Linked DNA regions of Tribolium castaneum. The protein of the gene in region 2 binds, or shares a complex with, the protein of the main gene of each other region. Links are inferred from orthologs where the notes say so. Each region holds a gene or a part of one and is shown on either strand. Other genes may lie near its edges.

The links. Proteins that work in one complex are often made in the same cells at the same time.
Region 1: eIF2Bbeta (region 2) and eIF2Bgamma share a complex: the UniProt entries of both Homo sapiens proteins name them as parts of the translation initiation factor 2B (eIF2B) complex. The link is inferred for Tribolium castaneum from reciprocal best matches to the Homo sapiens genes EIF2B2 and EIF2B3.

What each region holds. Positions count from the first base shown.
Region 1 is NC_087395.1:21,889,695-21,896,808, forward strand, and holds eIF2Bgamma (translation initiation factor eIF2B subunit gamma), read left to right. Parts: upstream 1-2,708; 5' UTR 2,709-2,847; coding exon 2,848-3,004; intron 3,005-3,050; coding exon 3,051-3,868; intron 3,869-3,918; coding exon 3,919-4,148; intron 4,149-4,194; coding exon 4,195-4,351; 3' UTR 4,352-4,395; downstream 4,396-7,114. Other genes in the region: Unc-115a (actin-binding LIM protein 3), read left to right, coding at 139-179, 729-929, 980-1,093; transcription elongation factor 1 homolog, read right to left, coding at 2,177-2,309, 2,363-2,478; very long chain fatty acid elongase AAEL008004, read right to left, coding at 6,357-6,542, 6,593-6,912, 6,962-7,114. UniProt on the Homo sapiens protein: Acts as a component of the translation initiation factor 2B (eIF2B) complex, which catalyzes the exchange of GDP for GTP on the eukaryotic initiation factor 2 (eIF2) complex gamma subunit.
Region 2 is NC_087400.1:16,452,117-16,460,151, reverse strand, and holds the end of eIF2Bbeta (translation initiation factor eIF2B subunit beta), read right to left. Parts: intron 7,991-8,035; coding exon 7,564-7,990; intron 5,849-7,563; coding exon 5,457-5,848; intron 1,284-5,456; coding exon 1,211-1,283; 3' UTR 1,177-1,210; downstream 1-1,176. Other genes in the region: protein mago nashi, read left to right, coding at 700-1,140. UniProt on the Homo sapiens protein: Acts as a component of the translation initiation factor 2B (eIF2B) complex, which catalyzes the exchange of GDP for GTP on eukaryotic initiation factor 2 (eIF2) gamma subunit.

The DNA of each region.
Region 1 (7,114 bases), on a different chromosome or scaffold from region 2:
TTTTCAAAACCGTATTGCTTATTATGCATGATTTGCGTCCGAAATCGATCGAAACGATTGTACCGAACGAAATTCTAGGCTAGTTTTTCCAATACATATTTTATAAGCTAGAATGTTAAGTTAATGCTTTTTCTTCAGTTTCCACTGGATCCATCACGGATGTTGAAAGACGTGCTCTGGTATGTAAATAATGCTTTATCTAACTTTTCTGTGTAACGCTCCAAATAACGGCTTCTTAATTTTCAAGCGTTTTGTTCTGTGATAATACACTTTTTCTCGTTTTTTATTATTTGCCTTTAGTTAGTTTGGGGTCAAGGTAAAATAATCTTTGGTTGAGGTTACATCCAGCAACAAAACAGTTTTATAGCCACATTTTCACCAAACTTTTCACCACGAAATTGTTTAAATACAGTTTCTTACAACCAACTAAAAAAATTTAAAAGTAATTATTTTTGAGTGACTGTGGTAGCCTGTGGTTTAAGTTTTTGTGTTTTCTGTCTCTATTTTATTTAGTCTTGTCATCTTATATTCAGGCACGATATGCAAAAAAAAGTAAATTAACTGTTACAATTTTTTGTTCATATTTCCGGTGAAATTTTGGGGGTGAGTCAAGGAAGCGTTCTGCTTGTCTTGGGGCTCCCCCTGTGCATAATTTGTTGCTTTTCCGGTTAGTTGTATTGGTGGTGGCGCAGTTTTCGGTTTTTGTTCGTAACTGTGTTGTGTGCTAGAATTCCGAAATGCCCGTGTCGGCGACTTACATGGGGGCCCTGGGGCGCTACCCGGGCGGGTACTCATCACAAGTGCGACGGTCCCTTCCAAACATGGCCCACACGATGCTGATAAACGAACCGGCCAAAATCTACCCTTACCACTTGCTTGTGATCACTAATTACAGACTGCCTTCTGATGTCGACAGATGCAATCTTGAGGTAAAATACTTTTTCCGATTTTGTGACCAGATGATTGGAATTTTTTGTAGCGACATCTGTCGGACGCCGAGTTCGAGGCGATTTTCCAAGTCTCGCGGACCGACTTCTACCGACTACCCCAATGGCGCAGGAACGAACTAAAACGTAGAGCTCGCTTGTTTTAAACTCTTCATGTGCTACTAGATGCTGCTTGAGTGCTAAACCACCACGCTAAGGCTGCTATACACTGCGATGTGTAACTGGTTTTCTTTGAGTGTTCCTTGATTCATTTACCGACTGGATCATTCTTCGCCATAGTTTAAGTTGACAAGGTTTCTGCGAAATGTGCTAGAGTAGCTCTTGGTTTCCTTACGGATTATTCCAACTAGATAAAAAACAATATTTTTCTACTGATTTGAACTATTATAATCTGTATTGTATTGGTGAAAAAGAGTATCTTGGAAGATTCAACAATTTTTTAATCATAGGACAAATTGGCTATATTCAGAGATTGATATTTTTTCTATAGGATAAGTGTATAACTAGGTAGTGCTAAGATAGTTGAAAGTTATTTATAAAAACGGCATTTAGATTGCTTTAATTATTGCTTTGGGCTAGTCGTATATTCTTTTGTACATTTGTTAGTGCTGTCAAGGACTTTGTGGTACCTTTTATTTCTGGTATATTGTTTTAAACCCAAATTCATTTTCATGAGTGTTTCTATTGTTACAAATTATTTATTTATTCTCATAAAATAACGATTTTAAAGCTTTAGGTATCTAAGATTTGTTAATAATTGCTCTGATAAATAAAAAACTTTTAAATACGACTTGTTTACTTTTTATAGCCACTCGTTTAAGACATTTTTTACCACCACCCATAATATTAAATGGGCAAACGCCTGAAATTTTGACACATCGACTTGAATTATTTTTTCACTCCAAAACCGAGACCGATACAAAATTTTTATGTTACAAATTGTTCAAAAGAACTGGGTCTTTCAAATAAAAAAAATTAGACCACTCGATTAACGTGTAACAAAAATATTCATTTTCATAGTTGTTTCAATTGTTACAAATTATATTTATTCTCATAAAATAACGATAACGCTTTAGGTGTCTAAGATTTCTTGTTAATTGATCTGATGAATAAAAAACTTTTAAATATGACTTATTTACTTTTAAAACCACTCGTTCAATACATTTTTTCCTAGACTGATATAATAAAAAAGTGTTATTTGTACCTAATAAAACATTTACATAAAAACCTCAGTTAGCAGATTCACATGCATCTATCCAATCGTTGTACACATCCACAGGCTCTGATAAAAAATTGATAGTAGTTTGGAAGTCTTCAAGACACACTCGGCACGTTATCCTGGCCGTATTTCGACCCTTATCCCTACAAACACACACATTACCCCATAAAACCCAACGGTTTATAAAAACAATCACATTTTAACATCGCACGATTTTTCGTGGTTGCAAAAAGGGCAGTTGAACTGCTGGTCCAGGGGCTCCACAGCTTTGCGTTTCGGCGCCGGTTTTCGCTTCGACTTGCGGCGCCCCATCACAAGACACTAAATTACACACAAAAAAAGTTTTCAACACAAGTTGGCCCCAAAATTTACAAAAAAACCGACCCGACCAAAATAAACAGTTTTTGCGCAAAGTTGACGTGTGACAGTAACACCAACGTGGTGGCAAAAACTGAGACAATTTGAGCGTAATTGCGAGCTTAATTAATATCACCGGGTATTAAGTTCCGACCGTGTTCACGATTCAGTCTTGAGGAATGCGCTAAAGTTTTATAAGGGGCTCAAATGAATTATTTTTATTTAGCGTAACAATTTGTTATGTTGGTGCCTCTGTCATTGGTGTGATATAACCACACATTTGTTGCAAAGTTTTGTGACATATTTTTGTGTGTTTTTGCAAGAATGTTTCAGCCCGAGTTCCAGGCCGTGGTCCTGGCGGCCGGCCGGGGCTCCCGCATGCCCGAGATCACCTCCGGCAAGCCCAAGTGTCTGCTGCCCGTGGGGACGAAGCCCCTCGTTTGGTACCCCTTGTACAAGCTGCAGCAGTCCGGTTTCACAGGTACGTGCGCTGGCCGTTCGAAATCTCATAATTACCAGACTTTTAGACGTAATTCTTGTCGTGTTAGAGAATCACAAAAGCGAGATTCAGGCCACGCTTGACAAAAGCGAGCTTGAGATCAAAATCGACTACTTCCCCGTTAGCGGGAAGGAGGACTTAGGCACCGCCGACTCCCTCAGACTCCTCCATGACCGGCTAAAGTCCGACGTTCTTGTAATTTCGTGCGACTTTATCACTGATTTTAGCCTAAAAGGCGTTTTGGACGTGTTCCGAATGCACGATGCCTCGGTCGCGTCTTTGTTCTTCCACCCTCACGGGGGCGAATTAACAATCCCGGGCCCCAAGTCCAAACACAAGCCGGAGCGCGATTTGGTCGGGATTGACGCGCAAACAAACCGTTTGGTGTTTTTAGCGTCCGCGAGCGATTTCGAGAGCGAATTATCGCTACCGCGCTCTTTGCTCAAGAAACACACTCATGTTAAAATGTACAGCAATTTGGTCGACTCGCACGTGTACGTTTTGAAAAACTGGGTGGTCAAATATTTGAACAGCCAGCCGAACTTTACAACAATCAAGGGCGAGCTCTTGCCCCACATTGTCAAAAAACAGCTCTCCAAGCCCCCGAAAGGGGCCGAGGGCAAGTCAATAGTCAGTAAATGCGACAGCGAGGACATTTTTAATTACGCGAAAGAGGACCCTTTCAGTATTATTATAAGGGAGTCCTCGTCCTACAACGACCATATCGGTGACTCCAAACCCACGTATCACGGTGATAGCATCCGGTGCTACGCCTTGATAGCCCCCCGAGACTCGTTCGGGGTGCGAGTCAACACTTTAGCGACGTACTGGGCCGTTAATAGCAAAGTACGTGGTAGTTCGCCCGTTGTGAGCCCCCTTGAGAGTGTGCGTTGCAGGTCAGCGAAAGGTGGGACAAAATCACAAATGGGCTAAGCCTCGTCCTCAGACACCCCAAAAGTGAGATTAAATCGAGCCAAGTGGACGATAAGTGTGTTGTTTGGGAGGGAGCCAAACTGCACGAGAAAACCTCGTTTAAGAACTCGGTTATTGGGGCTAACAGTGAAGTTTGCAGTTTTTCGAGGGTTTTTAATTGCATTGTTATGAATAATGTGACGATTAAGGAGAAGTGAGTGGGTTTCCATTGTGTGGCCTGTGTGGCAATTGTGTTTCAGGGTGGCGTTGGAGAATTGTATAGTTTCGGATGGAGTGACGATCGAGAAGGGGTGTCAGATTAAGGGCTGCTTGATCGGCAGTCACCACTTAGTGCCCGAAAATTCGGAACATAGTCAAGAGGTGCTCACGGATTCGGACCGCTTGATGGAATTCTAATTTTTATTTTTGTACATAATTTACGAATAAAATACAAATGTGAACTACTTGGTTTTTTTCGGTTTCGTAAGCAAAAAATCGTCTATTTGCTAATTGATTCTGTGGTTAAAATTTGGCAAATAGCAGGCGAAAAGTGCTAAAATATTCGGCAAGTTTTTACGATGTCTATTTAGCGAAATTCTCGAAATCCATTCGGGTAAAGTTAATTTTGGGTTTTACGTATGTTGATGGTCGGCAAAGTTCATAAATGCGTCATCGAATTCTGGAAATATCTGCATTTGCTTTCGATCGATATTAAAGGAGCTAATATTCGAGATTTTGTGTTCGGTGAAATGGAATCCTTTACGTATTCACTTTTTTGCACAAAAAATAAGACGATAAGAGTTTGCAAATTTTCCTCAATCTTAGTACAAAAAATGAAGAACACGCTTAATTAACGACCTGAGTTGCGAATAGAAACGGTGACGGTGCAGTAGTTGCCAAAAATAAGTACTTTTTCACATTTTCAAAATATTTATAAAGGTCCGTTTTGGAGAAATTATTGGAAGAAAATATAATTTAATTAAAAAAAAGTGTAAGTCAGAAAATAGTAAAATAAATACGAGTGCATAGTACTAAGAATATTAATTTATTATGCTAATAACTCGAATACTAATACTAATAGAAAAAAAAATAAAAATAATATATGTTTGAAAGAGGTTCAAACTATAATTTTTTGTTCATGGATGTAGACAATTAATTTACTCGCATGGATTATTACAAATCCTTGTTTCTCACTAGCAAGTTGATAAAAACAAATCAAGAATTATTTCTAAAATACTTGCAGAACTTAAATTATACTTCTGAAAATTAAAGCTTTTACGAAAATTTAAAATTATTACTTATTACTTATTACTTATGGTACAATGTGAATAACGACGAATTTATGCACTTAAAAAAAGTTTAGTTTTTGAGTGGATAAAATTTTTGTATTTACATAAATTATACGTACAACATTTTTTACAATTCCTATTAATAAAAATGACACCCGCCTGGATTAAAGTTTAATTCTGTTTCTGTAAATAGATCATGAACATTATTAAAACAATAGTTTTGGCAAAAGTTAGAGAAAAATGAAACAAAACAATGAATACAATGTTAATTTTTTTATTTTGTGCGTGCTGTAAATAACAGTGTGAATAAAAGTTTTGCTGTAAACATTCAATTCATTCTTTCGATTCATTTTATTTGTCCTTTTGATTAAATTATTGTATTGATAATAAGATTTAATATGTAAAATGAGCATTTTATTAATAGAAGCTGGAAAAAACTTATTATTTTCATATTTTTTTAAATTTAAATACGTTGTTTATATTTTTATGTGCTCACTGTGTTCGCTCGTGTTCTAAACAATTCTCGTGTTGTGTTTAGCGATTTTTTTTGGATTGGGGAAAGGAGAGGGAGAGAAACTCCGTTTGCAAAACGCAGGTTTCCACTTTATTTCTCAAGATTCATAAGTATATACAAAAATACTATACAACTTTAAATCTAAAGAAACGCGTAGTATGTATTATATACAATGATAATAAAACGACATTAATTACAGTGATACAGCTTCCATTACACTTACTTATCTGAAAAGACGTAGAGAGCCGCCGAATTTACGCAGCAGAGTGCAACTCCCTGAATAAAAAACATCCGATAAATTATACGAAAACGTAATAAAACATTCTTAAGTACGAACAACCGGCAACGATTCAAAGTGCAAAACTTTAACAATAAGCTAAAGCTAAGAAACGTGGTAAAAATTCAGGCACTAATGGCTGATGAAATGAAAAAATCAAGCGACTTGACGCAATGAAAATGGTCCCTGCAGCCGTAAAAACTTATATAATACATCAAGTAAAAAGAAACCAATTATTTCGCCCTGAGATACGAAATTTTGACAACAAATCGTACACTATCTAATAAATAAGTCTACAATTAAACAAAAGTCGAGTCCTTTTGTACCCACTGAAATTAAAACCTAGTTGATCTTCTTCGAGTTGCGCTCTATTACGGTTTGGCTCACAAAGCCGTTTGTGCTGCCGTTCGAGTAGCAAGCTTTGTACGAATCGGAATACTCGCTTTTGATGTAAGTGTTGTTAAGAGTGCCGTTACTGTCGGACTTCGTAACCGTTCCGTTTTGCTGCTTCTCATCCTCGAGGACCGGCTGCAACAACTTATCACTCACAAAGAACCGAATGCCATCAATTAACTCACCATGCAAGCGCCGCTATTGCTCTTCACAGCCTTGTTGTTGGTGTACCTAACTTTGTAAAAATCGGAGAACAGGAATAAGAACATGACACCGTGCAAAGCGATCCAAATCATGAAGCTCTTCGGGTAATTGCACTCGGTGAAGAGCAGCTGGAACTGGTGGGTGAAAATCGCCACAAACTGCACCATCTGGAACGTGGTCAGGTATTTCTTCCACCAGATGTATTTCTGGTACTGGGGCCCCATGGCCGCCACCATGTAGTAGAAATACATGATGATGTGCACGAATGTGTTGAGCAAGGCGAAGAACGTGCTGTGGCCACCTAAACGTTTCAGTCAAATTTGGAACAGCAGGAAAAATTAAGTATTCACCTGGCGCGAATTTCATCCCCATCCAGACCGAAAACGGCATGCAGCCGTGGTGGATGACATGGAGAGTAGACACGTGGCTATTTTTCTTCCGCAAAATGAAAAATAGAGTGTCGAAAAATTCGGTGAACTTCGAAAAGTAGTACCACCAGCAGG
Region 2 (8,035 bases):
CCATGTCCACCTATAACAGCACCCTCTGTTGAGCAAGCTTCTAATTCTGAGTTTGATTCCCCCCACCACTTTTCTGTTTGGTACGGTTCTGCGTTGTACGTTTCTAATGAAGTATTTTTCTAAACAAATACGTGAAATACGTTGCTGATAATGTATTTTTTTTAGGTCAATACTGTTCTGTTATGTATGTTTCTAGTTTTGTCCGATTCTGCTTGTGTATGTTTCTAGATTTGTCCGATTTTGCCTTCTGTTTCTAAGATGTATTAGCTGTTTCAAAACTATAAAAACGTCAAGATCGCATTTTCTCTCAAAATTCGCTATTATAAATTATTCATGCACTTCAAAAAAAAATAGCAGCTAATGCAATTTATACTTTTAATGAGAGATCTATGCATTAATAACTATTTTACAATTTTATGAAACTTATTTAAAAAAATAATTCGGTAAAGTGCGACGTTGGCGTTTTTATAGTTCTGAAACAGCTAATACAGTTTTGTCATTTTATTTTCTGTTGATGACAAATTCTAGACGTGAATTTTTCTAGATCTGGACGCGTTTTTACTTCCCAAATTAAATTTTCAGCGCGCCGTCCTGGTGATTTTGTCTGTTGTGTTGGCAACACTAACGCTGTCACAAATTTGACAGAAGTGATCCCTAACCCCACAAACGTTCCAAGCGGCTTCCCTAAATTCCGTTAGAATGTCTGCCGATTTTTACATACGTTACTACGTGGGCCACAAAGGTAAATTTGGGCATGAGTTTCTCGAGTTTGAGTTCCGTCCCGATGGTAAATTGCGTTACGCCAATAATTCCAACTACAAGAACGACACAATGATCCGTAAGGAGGTTTATGTGCATCAGTGCGTGATGGAGGAGCTCAAGAGGATTATTATCGATTCGGAGATAATGCAAGAAGACGATTCGTTGTGGCCGCCACCGGATAGAATCGGTCGTCAGGAGCTTGAGATTGTGATCAATGATGAACACATTTCGTTTACTACCTCGAAAACTGGGTCTTTGGTCGATGTGAGTCAGTCGAAGGATCCCGAAGGACTGCGCTGCTTTTATTATTTGGTGCAGGATTTAAAGTGTTTGGTGTTTTCTTTGATTGGAATGCATTTTAAGATTAAGCCAATATAAGCGTAATTTTTGTAAAGTAATGGTGAAAAATAAAAGTTTTGATAAAATTTATGGTTTTATTTAATTGGTTTCAAAGTTCGTAGTCGTCAGGGTGGTACAATTCGGAGAGGAGACGGTAGACGTAAGATGGTGCGTTGCCACCCCTAAAAAAAACAACATAGTAATAAAGGGTGAACCAATATTATCACTTTTGATTGTAATAAAATTTGACGACGAACCAACTTCCTTAAGAAGTTTTAAATAAAAAAACGGGTTTGACGTTTCGTTTATACATGGTGTAACGAAAAGATGGGGACAAAACGGAACCAGATATTCTCCAAGTCAAAGTAAAACGATTTAACCCAATTTACCTCTATACCAAGTGTCACCGTTTAAAAGTTAGAAGGCGCCAAAGTTAAAAAATTATTTTTGTTCTTTATTAGTAACTTCTAAATGAAATATCATTAAATTATTCCATTAAAAAGTTATTAAATAAAATCGAAAATAATTTTTGAAATTGGAGCCCTCTAACTTTTAAACGATGCAACTTGTAAAAATGTTGAAAAAATTCCTAAAGTCATTTTTAAAAAATCTGAAGCTACAAACTTATTGTGTTAACTTTTTTAGTTTTCGTTATTTTTTAATGTTTTTATGCTTCACACAAGGTAGTCGTTCTCTAACAAAACGATGAATAATTATTTTCAAATTTTCTATCAGACTTTAGCATTAAAATTCATCAAAAAAATCACAATGTGTAGATGTGCCAACACTGGGAATTATTTCCTAGGAAACCGTTTCAAAAATAATTTATTTTTATTATTCGGAAGTAAAGTTACCGTTGGGGGCGCCACTGAGCTAGGTCGAAAACAGTAACCATAAATGGCGGGAAAATGTTTATTCGGATATTTTGAGCGTTGTACGAATTTTGAGGCTTCATAATTATTACATTGCCAATGCGGAATGACTATTGTATCTTTGGTGGAAGATACGAATGTTGACAAATTAGAGATGACGAGAAAAACGCGAATAACGAATGACTGTTTGGTTCACTTTCTTTATTGGAAAATTATTACAAAGACATTGAAAAGCCTATCTTTTGGCATAATTTATCTTTAAGTGTATTAACAGTTGTTAATCTGAATTGTAGTTTTGTTGATTTATCGAAGTATTTCATGATTTTATCAATAGAAAAATTCTAACCTAAAATTCACAAAATTCACTAATTCATTGGTTTCTTGAGCCCAACTTTGTGTTCGCTGTGATCCATTACTTATAGTCTTTAATTATAACACTTTGATAATACTTTATAATGAAAATTTAAATCTTTTTCACTTTTTATTCACTTTCAAATTCCAACAATAAACACTTTATACCACGAAAAAACGCAGAACCAAAGTCAAAGCTAGTATTTACCACCACGTACTTTTAAAGTGATTCTCTCTAATGTAAGCAATTAACACTATACACGCAAAATTGTTAAACAATTTATTAGATGTCAATTAAATATGGAATTACGAAAATTTCGTTACTGTTTTCGGCATAGTTCAAAAGTCATCACCAGAGGGCGTCTAGTTAATTTTATTTCCGAATTGATCAAATTCTATTGCGATCATGACTGTTAGACAACGTTGCCACATATCATTTATCTAAAATCCGTTATTTATCAATAACTTTAATACAAAGAATTTTTTTACTATTTTTACCTTTGTATATAACCAGTTCTCTACCACACACCATTGAGTTGGTGCGTCAGTTTTTGAGCACGCTGTAGAGGTAAGTTGGGCTTAATCGCTCTATTTTGAGCTGAGGAATTTTTGGTTCTATGTTATCTCCATCTTTTCGTTACACCCTTTAGTTTTGTATCCACAAAATCAGTTTTTCGTTGCCTTTCGCTAAAATGGACCTAAAATATCACCAAATTATGTCCAAAACTTTTTCATTTCATTTCCTAAAATTTCGTAGTTTTTTTCTAAAAAAGTTTTTTTTTACTTTAAAAACGTACACTATTTTTTGGTACAATTTGGGAGAAAAAAATCTCATTTATTCTTCGACATTGTCAAAATACAGGGTGTATGAGGAATACGTGTGTTAAAATTAACAGGTAACAGAGGTCAACAAATAAAACATTTTTTTTTATTTGTAATTTTTCACTAAAGTTTCGACAATTTCAAGTAAAAATTTGAAAAAAAGCACATATCGGTACGTGTACCTGCCTATGGGTACAAAAATAAAAATGGGAAACTATTTTCGTTGTGACAGAATCGGACAATATGAACAATTTAAAACAACAATGAAAATTTTTGCTAAGAATACAAACTCATTATTAAACACTGACCGGCTCGTAAAAATAATAAATAAGAATTTTGCAAAATGTTATATAGAAAAGTTGTTTTATTTGATGAGTTTTATTACGTGGTAAAATTAACACACGTATTTATAATACACTCTGTATACATACTTCACTTGGTACTATGAAAATAAAATATTATGACAATGATTATTAAAAAAATATTATAACACGGTTTTTTCAAATGCAATGACCCTGTTTTTTCAATGGTAATCTAAAGAACATCAATTTTTATGCAGACTTTTATTAATATCTTCTATATCTATCTCTTTAGTTTTTGAAATAATCGCAAAAAACGAATTTTAGCTCATTATTTTGATTTTTAATCGAATAAACTTTCGAAAAATACGATCAAATTATGTCATTGATTAAAAGAAATGTTAGACTGAGTTACTTTACATAATTCACTAAGTTAGCATAAACCATAATTAAATATTATTGTTTTGTTGCTTATTCTGTAATAAACAAGCTAAAAACTAAATAAAATGTTGAAGTTTGATAATTGTTGACCATTTTGCAGGATCTACTTAAAAAATTACGAAGTAAAATCCGTTTTTTGTTTCAAAAACTGTATAAGAGGTATAGGACGTGTCAATAAAAAATCCCCATATAGGTTTATTCGTATATGAGACAATAAATGAACCTCTAAAAGGACCTATAAAATGAGCCGATTGAGATTATACCGCGTGTCCTATCGAAACTAATAAGTAATAAGAATTTTACAGCGCTGGGAAGTAGGGGTATGGAAAGAGGTTTTTGTACCATAACTTTGGAACCATTTGACCAAATATTACGAAACTTGGTAGACTTACTAAAGAAAACATGCCTTTTAATCTGGTAATTACGAAAACTGGATACATCCATCCCGTTTCCGGTTGCAGCATTTCCGGGTCACATTTTTTGTTTTTTAATTTTTTGCCCTTTTAACACTACTTTTTTATTGCCTAAATCGATAGAGTAATCAATTGTGAATAAAAAAGGTATAATCTTTTACATCGCTAAAATACACCATTTAATAGTTAATTTAAACAGAGGCTTGCACCTGACCAAAATCAAAAAAGTATGAATTTTGAGCAGGCGATATCCGTAGCAACAAAAGTGCATCTGCACTCAAGACCCTGTCAGGCACTTGCCAACTTTAACTCTGGATAATTTAGGACTCTAAATTGAAAATATTTAATAAAAGAGTTTAGTTTCAGTCCTTTAACATAACCTACAATAAATTTAAACTAATCTGATAGCATTTTTCATTGATTAATTCACCAAAAATTCACAAAAAAAATCATTAATCATTACCTGATTATTTGTTCCATTCGGTACGTGTATCACACCAAATTCCGAATAAAGACATTAAGATTCTTAAAAGTGCACAATTACTACGTGGGTGCATCTATTCGGTTGTCTTCCAGACACTAAATGAACCACACTCAGTTCACTACTAATTTGCATTATTTTGTAATAAAAACAGCGGTATTTTTGACTGAATTGTTTGCATTTTGTATTGTTTTCTTCTAAAAAATCTATTGGTAACATTGAATTATTGGCCTCCCTGCTAGCTTGTTATATAGAGCTGTTCCACCAAAGTTTCACCTGACTGTCATGCCGGCGATCGCCAGTCGGAAATTAATGACATTAAATATATACAATATTGACATTGAAATTCGATAGTGAAAGTTGCCAAATTAAGATTTCAAATTTCTTACCAACCGGACGACAAGAATCACAATCTTTAAAAGTCACCCGGTATTTTTTTTAAACTTGACGCCAATTTTGTGTAGTGTCGGAAGTTCAGGCATTTTGAAAATAATTTAGTTGAACTCAGAATGGTCGATTTGGACTGTATACAAAATTTTAAAGCTCTAGCTTTGTTAGAATTTAAAAAGTTTCTCATGTAGGCCTTAAAAAATCACTCTGTATAATTTTTTTGACTTACTGTAAAATGATAAATAAATAATAAAAAACAACAAAATATTGAAAAAAAAATACTTACTGATGTGATATAAAAAGCGTCACCAATTCTGGTGGAACGTAGTCAAAAATCGGATTATAAACAGTAATCTTATTCAAAAGCGGTCCAGTTGAATAGGGAATAACATTAGCAGGCGATGCACACATATTAAAGGTGTCTTTTTCATGTGAGCAGACATAGGTCGGAGTCAATTTATACATGTGAGAGAGAACCATAACAGGAACTGAGTAGTGTTTAGCCGCCAGAGCAATAGCATGAACTCCACTTGCGGCACGGAGACCTCCATCGGCCATAACACTGTGAGTGCCAATTATAACTTTATTGACACGTGACATCATTGCAAAAACTCCAGAATCAGGAATTACAGTCGTTTGGATGTTGCTGTTGGCAAGACTTGCTGCCATTTTATGACCCTGGAAAAGATAATTATGCAAAAACTACGAAGAGCTAAATACTAGGAGATAGAATCTACTACTACTAGAGATAGAAATCTTTTTTGTACCTAAAGACTTAGTGTTAAATTTAAATTAATTTAAATTCGTTTTTTTTGTTTTATTTTATTTTTCAAGTTGCACCGATTAAATACAATATGTTCAAAAATGGTTGTTCATCAAGTCACCTAAGAAATTTGAACGTAATGTGCCGCTTAATTTAAATTGTGAGTGCCGTCAAAATGACAGATTTGTCAAAATAATGCAGACTTCGAATCCCAAAACGAAAGAAAACACAACAACAAAAATCACAGAAATATAAAACACAAATCTAAACAAACCTTACTCTTGGAATAACTTTGCCGAAAAATGTAAAAAAGTGAGAGAAAAACTAATTCGAAGATTTGACAGAGAAACTACAATAGTGATTTAGAAAAAGCGGCACATTCAATGTCAGTTAAATTGATGAACAACCATTTTTGAACACATTGTACATACAGGGTGTATCAGAAATACGTGTGTTAATTTTACCACGTAATAAAACTCATCAAATACAACTACTTTTCTATACAACGTTTTGCAAAATTCTTATTTATAATTTACAATGTTTTCCTTCATTCTTTTGTGAAAACAAGCCGGTCAGTGTTTTTATAATTAGTTTGTATTCATAGCAACATTTTTATTGTTGTTTTAAATTGTTCAAATTGTCCTTTTGTATCACAACGAAAATAGTTCGTGTGTTTTATTTTTGTACCCATAGTCGGGTACACATTTCAGTATCTTATCTTTTTCCAAAGTTTAAATAAGTTTGCGATTTTTTTTTTAATTACAAATAGATAAGATGTTTTATTTGTTGAGCTCTGTTATTTGTTAAAATTAAAACACGTATTTCTGATACACCCTGTATTCAACCAAAATTGCATTTCTTGACGCCTGAATCTGAATTCAGTGTCGAACCGTGAGTTCTACATTAGATAAAGAACCAAATATAGTACCTATTCACAAAGCATATCTTAGTTTTTTAGCCTAAATATCTAAGCTACAAAAAATGAAATTTCGTTCAAAAAGGCTAAAAGGCTTGTACGTAAAAAAAATCTCTTTTTAATTAAAAATCACTTAAGATTTTGAAACATTTTCTTCTAATACGGTAAAAGATGATGTCATTTGTCACCTTGTTCTAATTTTATAAATAGAAAACACGTTCTTCTCTTAAAAATGCATTTTTTTAAGAAAATTTATTCAAAGACAAATGAAAACACGTAATTTGAAACATACAGTAGCTTTCTTTAATAACTACCAATTCTTTTCTCAATAAACAAATATAAAATATTTTAAGTGTTAGCTTATGTCAAAATTTAGATTGAAGTGTGTTAGTTTTGAAAAAAATAAATAAGAAAGAGAAACACAACAACAATGAAAAGTAATTAAGACGCAAATGTAAAACTATCAAGGAGAACAAAAGAAACAAAACCAAAGATGAAAACAAATTTTGAGAAAGCAAAATGAGTTTAACATTAAAAGAATGCAGAAAATGTGTAATAAATACATATGAAAAAAATACAAAAGTGCTAATAAGACAAAGCTTCATGTCAGCGGAAGACAACTGAATTGACGTTTGAATTTAACAATCAATGCCGCCAACTCGATTTTAAAATCATAGCCACCCCAAGATCCAAAATGTAAATAATATGACTCACCCTGTATAAAGGCGCAGCCTCGACGACAATCACTTGAAATTTCCGCTGTTTGGCCGCATGTTTTAAGAATTTTTCCACAGTATTTGAAATCCCAACCGTTAAAATAATCTCATTTGTGTGAATATGTTCCAAGGCTTGTGCCGCGATATTCTCCGTGCTTGTCTCCAACTCGACCTTATATTCGGTCAAATGGTCCAAAAGTCGATTTCGCAAGTTTCCGTGTGACTCCGAATAGTCAAGTTCGTCACTTTGATCACCTGTTACAATCTGGTGTAGTGATTGTCCCTCGGCTTTTTTCTCTGAGCCCAAATCAAACTCTTCACGGATTACTTTCAAAATGTGGCGCATTATGTTAGTGGCGGTGGCTTCAAGAGGGAGAGACTGCGAGACTTGTCTGATTTTGTCTTTGATTTGTTGCATCAACTCTCTTAAATTTGAATGATTGATTAATTAGTTGGTAGTGATTGGGGTT